Drosophila melanogaster: one gene and its partner. The protein of the gene in region 2 interacts with the protein of the main gene of each other region in a biochemical or structural test. Each region holds a gene or a part of one and is shown on either strand. Other genes may lie near its edges.

Region 1 (5,484 bases), on a different chromosome or scaffold from region 2:
TTATCAAAGATGTAAATCCCAAAAAGATGGCAATTCCCATCCAGTTGTTTCGAAAATTCGATGGAAAAATTTAAAAAGTGTTTTACACATGATCTTTTGGACAATTCAACATTCAAATTAGTGCTTTCGAATTAAGTTTATCGGGGATACCATTTACTTTTTAAAGTATATTTGAACGTGAAATAAAAAAAAAAAAATTTATTTTCCAAAACGAGTATTTATGTATATGTAAAAAACAGTGCTGCTAGCTTCATAGTTTTCGTTTCCAGATGGTATTACATATATCCGTACATATATGATATTTCGAATCGCAGTGCAGGAGGCGGACGAGTGCAGGAATGCAATAAAGCCAGTATTTTTTTAAAGCTCAAAACAAAAACCGAAGAAATATCTAAAAGGAAAATCGTTAATTGCAGTGTTACAATGCTTCTACATTGATGGTAAAAAAAAAATCGAACTATGTACTCACTCTAAAAACTTGTATGAACTAAACTATCCTCAGAGCAATGAATTATATGCGAACAAATATTATTTAGCAACGCAATGTCCGCAAGAAATTATACAAAAACCTATTCAATGATAAATATTATGTGTGTGTTAAGGTTATGGTCTTTAACGATTCTTGTTTATAGACGTTTGTTAATAAGAAAATAAAGAAAAATTAAATTATTCGCATTGCCTTTAACTACTTGGATTCGTTTGGTAAGCTAATGCGATTTATCTGAAAGTAAATTATACGAAAATATACATACATCATAGAGGGCAGAGAAGAAATTGCTTTTTTCTATCATTTATTTGCCAACTTATATAATTGTTATCCAAAGTTAACTTTAACATATTGTTTTTCTCTTTATGTTGGATGGTTTTTAAAAAAATTGCATTTAATAGTTCGTTCTTTTTTGGTTATCTGTGTAGGATTTCGAAAAGCTTATATACAAAAAAAAAATGTTGCTTTGCTGCTTACAATCAGTCTCGTTTTTATGTTTCATCCATTTCAAAGTTTCATGATGATTATTTAAAACTATTTTATACAAAATATTTAGGATAGCTAAAAATAATAACCCATAGTTTGGTAAAAAATAGTTGCGTACATATAAAATACATCGATTCAAATGTAAATAGTGTGATATTGGCCAATCCTATAGTGATCGGACTATTTGGATCCTATATATAATTTCAACTTAAGCCTGACATAACTATCATGTATGCATAACTATCATTTGACACCTCAAAATGTAACGTCTTGTATCTCGTTTTGAGCCTGAGCCTGCGCCTGCATCTTGCACGTGTGCGTCCGATGTGGCGCTGCGGACCCAAAGTTGTGCTGCTGCTGGTGTTGCTCCACGCACTCGGCAGGAGCTTTCGGTAGCGGCAAGGGTCTAATTGAGATTTGCGAGAGATGCTGCGATTGATGTATTTGGAAGCGCCTCTTGTAGTATAATGTTGACATTTCTTTTGGGTCAATATTCACTAGAAATGGCTCTAGATTCCGACTGTGCTCCTTAAAGATGTCCTCCATGTGCAGCATACAATCTCGCACCTGAGCCTGTGCATTTAAAATCAATTGAGTGGTGGTACATAACAACACTGCTCCCTTGCCATACTCACTTGCTCCACGCTGGTTAGATCGGTCATCAGACTCAAAAGGAAGTGTAGATTGTGTCCCGATCGCAGATGCCACTTTAGGCCATTCATTGACGCAGCTATGCTCGATGCAGCTATGGTGCTGGCCGAGAACTTGGCAAACTTATGTTCTTCAAAGGAAGGGGTGGGAAGTCAGTACTTAAGTTGGACTGTTTTGTATATGGCTTACCTTTTGCTGCCAACGATATAAATGCCTGAGCATGTCCCCGCACTTTGCCAATGTTTATGTCCGGAAAGTTTTTGCTGCCTATCGGCAGGCGCATCATCAGAAGCTCAAGGAAGTCCAAGGGAGTCACAGATGAGAGGTCCCAGCCCAAGCGACTTAGCACATACAGCTCCCATTTCTTGGGAATGAAATGAAACCGCATGTTCACCGAAAGGTATTGTATTACGAGAAAGGTACTTACAATCAAATCATCCTTGTAGATGCTGTTGTCCGTGTAAACAACGAGTAGATCCACCGAAAGAGCACGACAGCTGGGTTCACGGAGCTTTGAAGCCAGTAAGAGGCAAGCTGCGGCCAAAATTTGTAGCTGGGTCTTGCGTACTGATTTGCTCGAAAGAAATCGATCCATGTAATTTAATGCCAGTAATACGACCTCTTCCTGGCAATTTTCCTCGGCACACACCTGTGAACATGTATTCAATTAATGAACGAAAAGGGTAGTCAAAATATTGTAATGGGTGTGCGATAAGGACTACTAAAACAAACACTAATTAATGAAGTTCTTGGAAACTTCCATCTATTTGGTAATATTTTCTAACAGATTATAAATAATGCGTATATCACAGTCGGCTAGCTTGATATGATTTGGATGCTGTATCTACATTTCGTTTAATTACTCACTTCCATCATCCATTCGGCGACAATTTTGCGCATCGGTGGCGTAATATCCTTCTGGATGCTAAAGTACGTGTCGGGAATTTTGTGGTGCTTCTCCTCGACCTTGAGGAAATTCTCCAGACACCGATCCGAATACAATGTGGGATCCCCGATGGCAGTGTTCACGTTGTCGGTTGCGGGTGGATCGGCTGTTGTGGTCAGGCGTTCGTCGAGTCGTTGGCAATGTGACGTCGGTGGCTCCTGGCTGATGTAACGCGGATAACTTTGGATTGATTGGGTCGCTGTCGGTGGTGGTGGCGGCGGTGGTGGAGGTGGCGGAGGCGGCTCCAATTGTTCTGGATTTTTCGCAGCCGAGTCCACGGACGCGTATATATACACCAGCTCCTTCATATTGCACACTACGGCATTGTTCTGGGCATCCGGATGGGAATCGGATTCCGCGTCCCCCAAGGATGAACATATCGATGATTGATCCCGAATGATCGCCGGTGAGGACATTTGCTGCTGTCGTTTGTTCAAACGATACAATGATGGATCTGATTCGTAGACTATGATTTCCGAGCATAAAAGATCCATTATATCGGCCATACGTTCCGTTTAAAGCTATGGATTCTATGGATCGCCGCACTCTCAAGCCATTTATGTGTGCCGATTTATCAGGAACTTTGGGTAACTCCGATATGGGAACACTGCGTACAATAGGAAATGATCGTACATAAGTACATACATACATATGTATGTTGCAACCTTCTTTTCACATTTAATTCAAGTATTTGCTCAAGTATGGGCACACTGCGGGCATATGTGTTTAGTCCTGTGGGAGCACTAGAGTATAGCATATAACCCTAATACCTTGACTTATTCATATGCACATTACATTATTTACATATTTTTTCGACCTGCTCAGAAATAACTCGTTCATTTCACACTATGTACTTATGTACATGTACATGCATGGCTATGTACGATCAGCTCGAGAACAAAAGTTTTCACTTACGCCTATTCTCGGAATTCTGGTTATATACAAACGGCACAGCACTTCATGGAGTAATGTAAATTAACTATTAAAAAAGTATACTCGAAGTTGCACACGTTTGCCACTTAACCGGCGTGGACAAAGCATTTATGTGAACCAGATAGTTACACCTTATGGCAGAAAAAAACTAGTTCAGCATGCCGTCATCGGAGTTATATCTCTTGCTCACTGCGATCAGTAAAACATATCGATCTTCATCGGTTATTAGTATAGTACTATCCTTTGCAATGAAAGGCAAGCGAAATACGTTGAAAAGGGGAACCTCCTCATTGCGTTTCCAACTTGTTGCTTGTGAAATATGTTTCACTTAGGGTTGTTATTAGAACATTAAAAACTTATAATCCATCAATGGGTTTGATGGACTATAAAAGGGTCTTACCCTTATAATAAAAACAAAGTTCTTCTAATTGCACTACTTTTTTTCTTAAATAAGCTTTTTGTTATACGATCTTACGAACTTACTCTTGATGTGAATTTCACATCACTCAAGTGTTCCAATTACTCCAGCAAAATCAAAAATACTAAAATATGCTAGGGCGTTGCCACCCTGCATTCATGTAAGGATGGTACTGACAGTCGATCTTTCGGCATGTCATACATTTAACGATCGTGGTCCACGACAAAATGGTCAGTAATGCAAAACTCACTGGCATCACCCTACTAGGTTGAATCGTGATCAAAACACCCTTATTAAATTCCGTTTAAATGGCCGGAACCTGTTGATTAAATGGCAGGTTGTTCGAAAGAGTCGTAAATAAATGAATGCTGCACTTAAAGATCCTGTACCGCTTACAAAAAGCATTGAACTGCTGTTATTTTCTTTAGGGTTGTACTTAAACAGTTTTAGATGACAAACAGTAAGACATGTAAGAAACCTAAAATAATTTCACTAAAAAAATTCTAAAAGCAATTGTAAAAAAAAGATATAATCTTTGCTGCTTTGTTTAATAATTAATAAGATATTGATAAAAGGGTAAAAAGCTTTCGCGACTTAGGAATGCCAGGTTAATGATAAACAAAAGTAACCTGTGGATCCCTTCCGAGAAATGATGTACCGATATATGTACACATCGAGATTAAAATGGACTTCCATGTCCATTGTCCTAATTTCGGTGCTGCAGTTTTTTGTTGTTTTTTAGGAAAAACTGCAGCGTGGAGAATGCTTTCAATGATACAATCCTTAATTGGGTTCGCATTTTGCTAACTTAGTTGTTGCAAATTAATTTACCCTCACTCTCGGCACACAGACAAAAGCTCGCTTCCCAGAAAAAGCTTAAGGATTCAGAGAAAACTTTGAAACAGCACACGAGAGTTGAGTGGAACACTCGCGTCCGCCGACTTCGCTTTCCGTCAGAGGGATGCTGTAATCCCCTGAAATTTTATATTCGTTATATTCCCGAAGAAGACAAGAGACGTGCTGTACGAAAATAATTTTTCATTCACGTAAATTACCCACACAAATGTGTGTGGAACAATTAGCTGATTCAATTGTTCTCGCCCGCCACTTGCTAATTGGAATCGAAAAGTGTCAAAGTTTCAGGAGGTTCTTTTTGTTTAATAATACTGTGTTTAATATGCATATGTTCGCGTGTGTGGTGCTCATGACATACATACATAAATGCCAACAAAGTCCCAAATATCGCATTCATTTGCGAGGGGACTTCGCAGGACGTTATAAACACCTTTATACCACATTCTGGAAATGCCAAACGCAGTGCCAAGCCCACGCAACTTTATAATAGGATATACATTGAATGAAGTAGTGCCATGAATGCCGTGCCGCATGATATTTGATCCATTCACGGAGTCGGTCCTGGACCTACAAAGTCACAATAAACCTTCTGTTTAGTGAGACAGCGTAATGTGAAAAATGTTGAGGACGTACAAGCCAGGCATTTAAATTTATTAACTTACAATAAACATTTATGTAAATCATAAAAAACCCAGTGACACAATAAGT
Region 2 (5,157 bases):
TCACAGCTGCCCCACACACACACACTCCAAACGGGGAGAGAGAATGAGGTGTAAGGTAAACCGGCAAAAAAAAAGAATATATATATAAAAAGAATAATGAAGATGAGCTGCGAAAGAGTAGCGCGACTCAGTGGAGAAGTAAGAGGAGGAGCAGCAGGAGGAGGAAGAATGAAGGAGAGTGAGAAGACTGAGCTTCAGTGTATGCGTGTGTTTGTAACGGCACCACAAAATCAGAGTGGAGCACAACAAAAATAGCCGTCGCGAAAAACACCGTGTTTCTTTGCCCCATCTCACTTACTCATTTTGGGAATTGTACCTGTTGAGCAAAAATAAATTACAAGAAATTGTTACATTTCTTTTTTCGTTGGGAGTCGGAGCGGTTATGACTCATATCAGACGAACAAATGAAGTAAAAACAAACACGCACACTTGTGCACAGCAAGAAAATTCGATAATATTATCAATATTAGACCAGGTGCACTACCAATACAAACTTCTATTTAATTCTTATTCGAATAATTAATATTGTGAACTTTAAGAATTGGTTCAGTAAGACTAAATGCCATATGCATTGGTTCTAAAGCCCATTTCGTTCAGTGTACGGTTCAAGTGAGCTCCGATCGGCGTTTAAGCCGTTCTCTCTCGCTCTTTAACTCTCTTTTTTGGCAAATGAGGCCATCTAGAGAAAAAAGGCTTTTGAAGAATTGACCACAAAAAGGGGGCGTGAGTGATTTTAAGAGTTTACTACAATGTATACTTTTATTTCCGGTTTGCCGCTTGCCATTTCGTTTTCATTTAGGCAGGCATTAAAATGTTATAATGGATAGAAAACTACGAAAAACGAGGAAAACTCAATGGCCATGACGCCGACGCAGGCAGCGCTGCTTTTGTCGAGACAGTCAGCAGACCCCCGCCCCACACATTCAAACACAAATACACACCACGCTCACACATACGCATAGATATGAACAAATTCCGCATTCGCTGCTCATTTTGTATGTAAATTATGCTTAATTATAATTTATAACTAATTATTTGGGGGCCCCCTTTTGGCTGACGGTGTTTTGCAACACTAAGCCCCGCTAGCACTCACACACTTGCGCTCTCTTTGGCTCTGCCCCATTGCGCGAGCGGGACCGAATGAGGCCTCAGCTGTCGCGGGCAAAGGGAATGCGCCAGGGCCAGAGCGAGATGGCATGCAATGGCCATAGCCAAGTGATGGCGAGACTTTGTATTTGCGAGCGTTTTAATGTGTGTGTGTGTGGGGTATGACTATGATAACCGGCTTCAAACGTAAAAAAAGATCCCAATTTGCCAAGTAACATTTCCACAACTTCGAGATATTACTAATGCTTTTGAGGAAGGCTGGGATGACTTTGAAAAAATATCGGGTTGTCAGGGCCTTGAACATTGGGGTGTAAAAAAGCATTTACTGGACAAGGACAAACGACGCGCAGGCACTTTAAAAATAATTATCGAAGCACGCACGCTAGAACCACTCTACCTAAATACATATATAAATATATATGCTTGGGGGCAGCACTATTTCTGAATTATCAGCGCAAAAAGTAGGGTTAGGTTAATTTTATACGCTTCTTGCTTTTGCTCTGTTTTATTTTTTGCTGGATCTTTCTGCGGCGCTGGCAGTGTGTGCGTTTATGTGTGACTGTTGCGAGGCTGAGAGTGTGTGCGAGTGCCGTGTACAGCGTGTATTGGGTAACAGCGCCCGTAGAGCTGCGAAAACTCCGCCGTATAGTTGCATTAATGTAAATGCATCCAGGTGCCCGGCACACACGCACACAAACAATGCACATTTGCATTGCACTTTCACGCACACGCATCGCACACACACTTATCCCACACTCTCGCAAAAGTAACGGAAGCGATGACTGCACTACACGTTGCCTTGCCCACCACACACACACATCCTTATACCTTTTTCACCACCCTCAAAATTTCTAATCTGCTCCTAATTACTAACTTATTAATTAAATGGTAACTCCACAGCTCATTTTCTCCCTTCCCTCTTGCACGCTTCTTTCCCCCCGCTTCTTCTTTCTTCTCCTCGGTTACTACCTACGTTTCACATTTCTTGCATAAAATTTTTCTCCCGTTGAAAACTGATGTCTGTTCGCTTTTTTTTTAGACTATCATTTTGGTGTATCGCAAAGGGTTCTGTTCTTTCTTTTTTTAGTCCGTTTCGCAAAGTTTTTTGAGATATTCCTTTTTTCACATACCTTATTGATTCTTTTTAACGCCATTTTCTGATTGAAATTTGATTTTCTGGGTTGTGTGTGTGTTTGGTTGGTTGTGTGTGTGTTTGGTTGGTTGTGTGCTGGTGTTGGTGTCTCGCGTATTTCTTTTGTTCTTCGCACAGAATTGGGTTTTATTCAATATATAATCCTCCTGCTTAGAATTGAACGAAAAACGAAACACAAAGCTGCGTTGCGCCTCTAGAACTTTGATGCTTAAATATGGCTCTTTCGGTTGAGTGTCCCTTGTCACGAAATAAAGCAGCACCAGCGCACTGCAAGTAAAAACGGCGACCCGACGAAGACTACGGCGACGATTATTTTTTCACAATCAATGCGGGGCCTTTCGACCGTTTGTGCGATAGAGACGACCGTTAGTGAGCTGAGAACGCAACGAAGCACAATCGTTACACCGAAGTGTAAGCCCGAGCGAGAGGAATGGTGTGTCTGTGTCGTGTGGTAGTGTTGTGAAGCGGAAGTCCAGCAGAGCAGTCCAGCTATATGACCTTTTCGCTAGGGGTGGCCAGATCGATTGGGTGGCAACGCCTTTTAGGTGAGGGATGAATCAGTTAATTACAATTTGATTGCCAATGCAAGACTCTTCATACTCACTTTAGTTCGGGAACAGCCAGAAGAAATAGTTTTACCGGCAGCGAGGAGGTGTTATATTTTATTCGAACTACCTTCTTATCGATGGTGCGTGCGCCCAAAAGCTTGCAACTTGTATGTAAATTTGTTAACACCCAACGTGTTGCAGGCTGCCGGAATGTTTTTACTGAGCAATTTTGAGATGTTGGTAATCCGAGTTCTTGAAAACTTTCCGACTAGCTACTGAGTTCTACAACTGAATTGACAGGGCGTTATTTTAAAATTTAAATTCACTCCAGAGCGCTGGTCTGGCAAGGCCGACGTGCCAATTCAGGATACTTGTCGATATTTTCCGTTGTGCTATCGATAGTTTTTGGGAATAACAGGCGTTAGTAGATTTTTAGTATTTAGATTTTATTATCATAAGGATGAAAATATTTTTAACAAAATAAACTGGTTCATTTAATTTAACTTTTTATTTTCTCACTACTCCAAATGGCGCTTCCGCTGTCTGAAACTGCCGTTATAATAGTATGAACAGTTAAAACAATCGACGGTAGCTGAATTTAATCAATGCAGCCCTCTTACCCTATACATCGATAGTATCGCATAAACATCGATTTTGGTTCCAGCTCTAACTTTAACTGTCTGCAAAATATTTCAAACAAAAGTGTTTGTTAATTAAGTAATATACTTAATATTAGTGGCTGTTTTGCTTCGACATTGATCGAATTGCGGTTGTGCAAGTGTTTTGTTTGATTTGTTGGCGTGTTTTTCCTAGTTTGGCGGCCCTTTGAACTCGTTCGTGTATCGCCATCTCTCTCCCACCCCCGCAATCGGCTTCGTGCGTATTTTTTTGTGAATTTTTACACAGAACTCACACTTTTGTATGGCCCAAGAATTTGTACAATATTTTTGCACTTGAAAAACAAGAAATAATGAAGAAAGCCAAGATAAACGCGACGATGTGCAAGTGCTAATCATTCAGTTTTGGCAAGCGCTGAACTTCGCTGACTTCTTGAACAGCAAAAAAGATGGAGGAGGATAATGCCAAGGTCCTAAGTAATAACAACAAGAACAACAGAAACAACAATAAGGGACGCCAGCAGCTGCAGGGACACGCCCACAGCTCCGCCACCGCCCACGCCTCCGTCGATATATTTATATTCGATTTATAGTAGCTGTAGTTGTAGTCATGCCAACAACAAAAACGCAAACACAGACAACAACAACTTGCAGCGAAGAGGAAGAAGCGGCGATAATACGAGAAAATTGCGATACGCCAATGGCGACCCCAGCAAATGCAACAACAGCAAACACAACAACTGCAGCACCCATAACAACAACAACAACAACAGTAAATACGCGCAGACAAGAAGAAGCAGCAGCAGTAGCTTCCACACCTAGTGTTACGAAAACGGCAACAACAACAAACATACTAGCCGCTGCAGCGGGATGCCACAAGCCGTTATTCTTCAGCCGCCGCTTTCAGGACAAACGGAACTTTAGCTCGCTACCGCTCTTCGTCTACGCGACCTCGCCATCAACGCACGCCCACTCAGCGGACGGAGTAGGCGTGGCCAAGGAGGCAGCCGCGTTTTGCCACAAGGTGAGTTTGTTGCACAAAGAACCAGATAAACTTGTAATATTAGGAGAACAAGGAACTTCTATAATTGCCAATCAAATATAATATATCCCCTTTAAGTTATGTATTATAAAATGTAGTATTTTATTTAAACTTTGATAATGCCATTTGTATGTATTTAGATTTAACCCCAAAACAGGAAAAGAAAACCAAAAATAAAGAATTCTGGTTGGAACAGAGAGTTTCCAGTTCGAGGGATTCGTTTGGCATGTCACAGAATTGTAATTGTAATAAAACCCCCATGGGTTTTAATACTCATTTTCTACCTTCCACTCTGCCATCTCTTTTTTTCGAGCAATCGCACCGCTCTTTCCGCTCTAAACTTGCGTAATGGATCACTTCCGCTGCACTTGCAACTTGGGTCGTGTCATATCTGAATATATAATTCCCGCCCAATTCATAGTTTAAACAGTAAGCTCCGCCTAAGAAGAACGCGCTAATAACTCCGTGGTTATACTTAAATGAGTTCTTGATCCAGATTATAAATTTAGATACCTAATATTCAAATAGATATAGCTTTAGAAAAGTTGTAAGTTTAGCATGGTTGGTTGTTTCGTTTGTAGCCACTAACTACTGTATTATATTTATAAACGTTCTGCTTGGCTGCCGCAGTCCGCCTATCTGTTCCTCTCGGAAATCGGTGCATGCAGAATCAGATCTCCATTGGAAATG

The links.
Region 1: of the proteins of eff (region 2) and CycD, one has a biochemical effect on the other in vitro, tested with the Drosophila melanogaster proteins (one study listed by BioGRID).

What each region holds. Positions count from the first base shown.
Region 1 is NC_004354.4:15,906,046-15,911,529, forward strand, and holds CycD (cyclin D), read right to left. Parts: upstream 3,632-5,484; 5' UTR 3,065-3,631; coding exon 2,492-3,064; intron 2,274-2,491; coding exon 2,052-2,273; intron 1,989-2,051; coding exon 1,814-1,988; intron 1,755-1,813; coding exon 1,609-1,754; intron 1,547-1,608; coding exon 1,229-1,546; 3' UTR 777-1,228; downstream 1-776.
Region 2 is NT_033777.3:14,738,143-14,743,299, forward strand, and holds the start of eff (effete), read right to left. Parts: upstream 3,178-5,157; 5' UTR 2,865-3,177; intron 2,799-2,864; 5' UTR 2,262-2,798; coding exon 2,238-2,261; intron 1-2,237. Other genes in the region: jvl (javelin-like), read left to right, coding at 4,036-4,449. UniProt on the Drosophila melanogaster protein: Catalyzes the covalent attachment of ubiquitin to other proteins. Mediates the selective degradation of short-lived and abnormal proteins.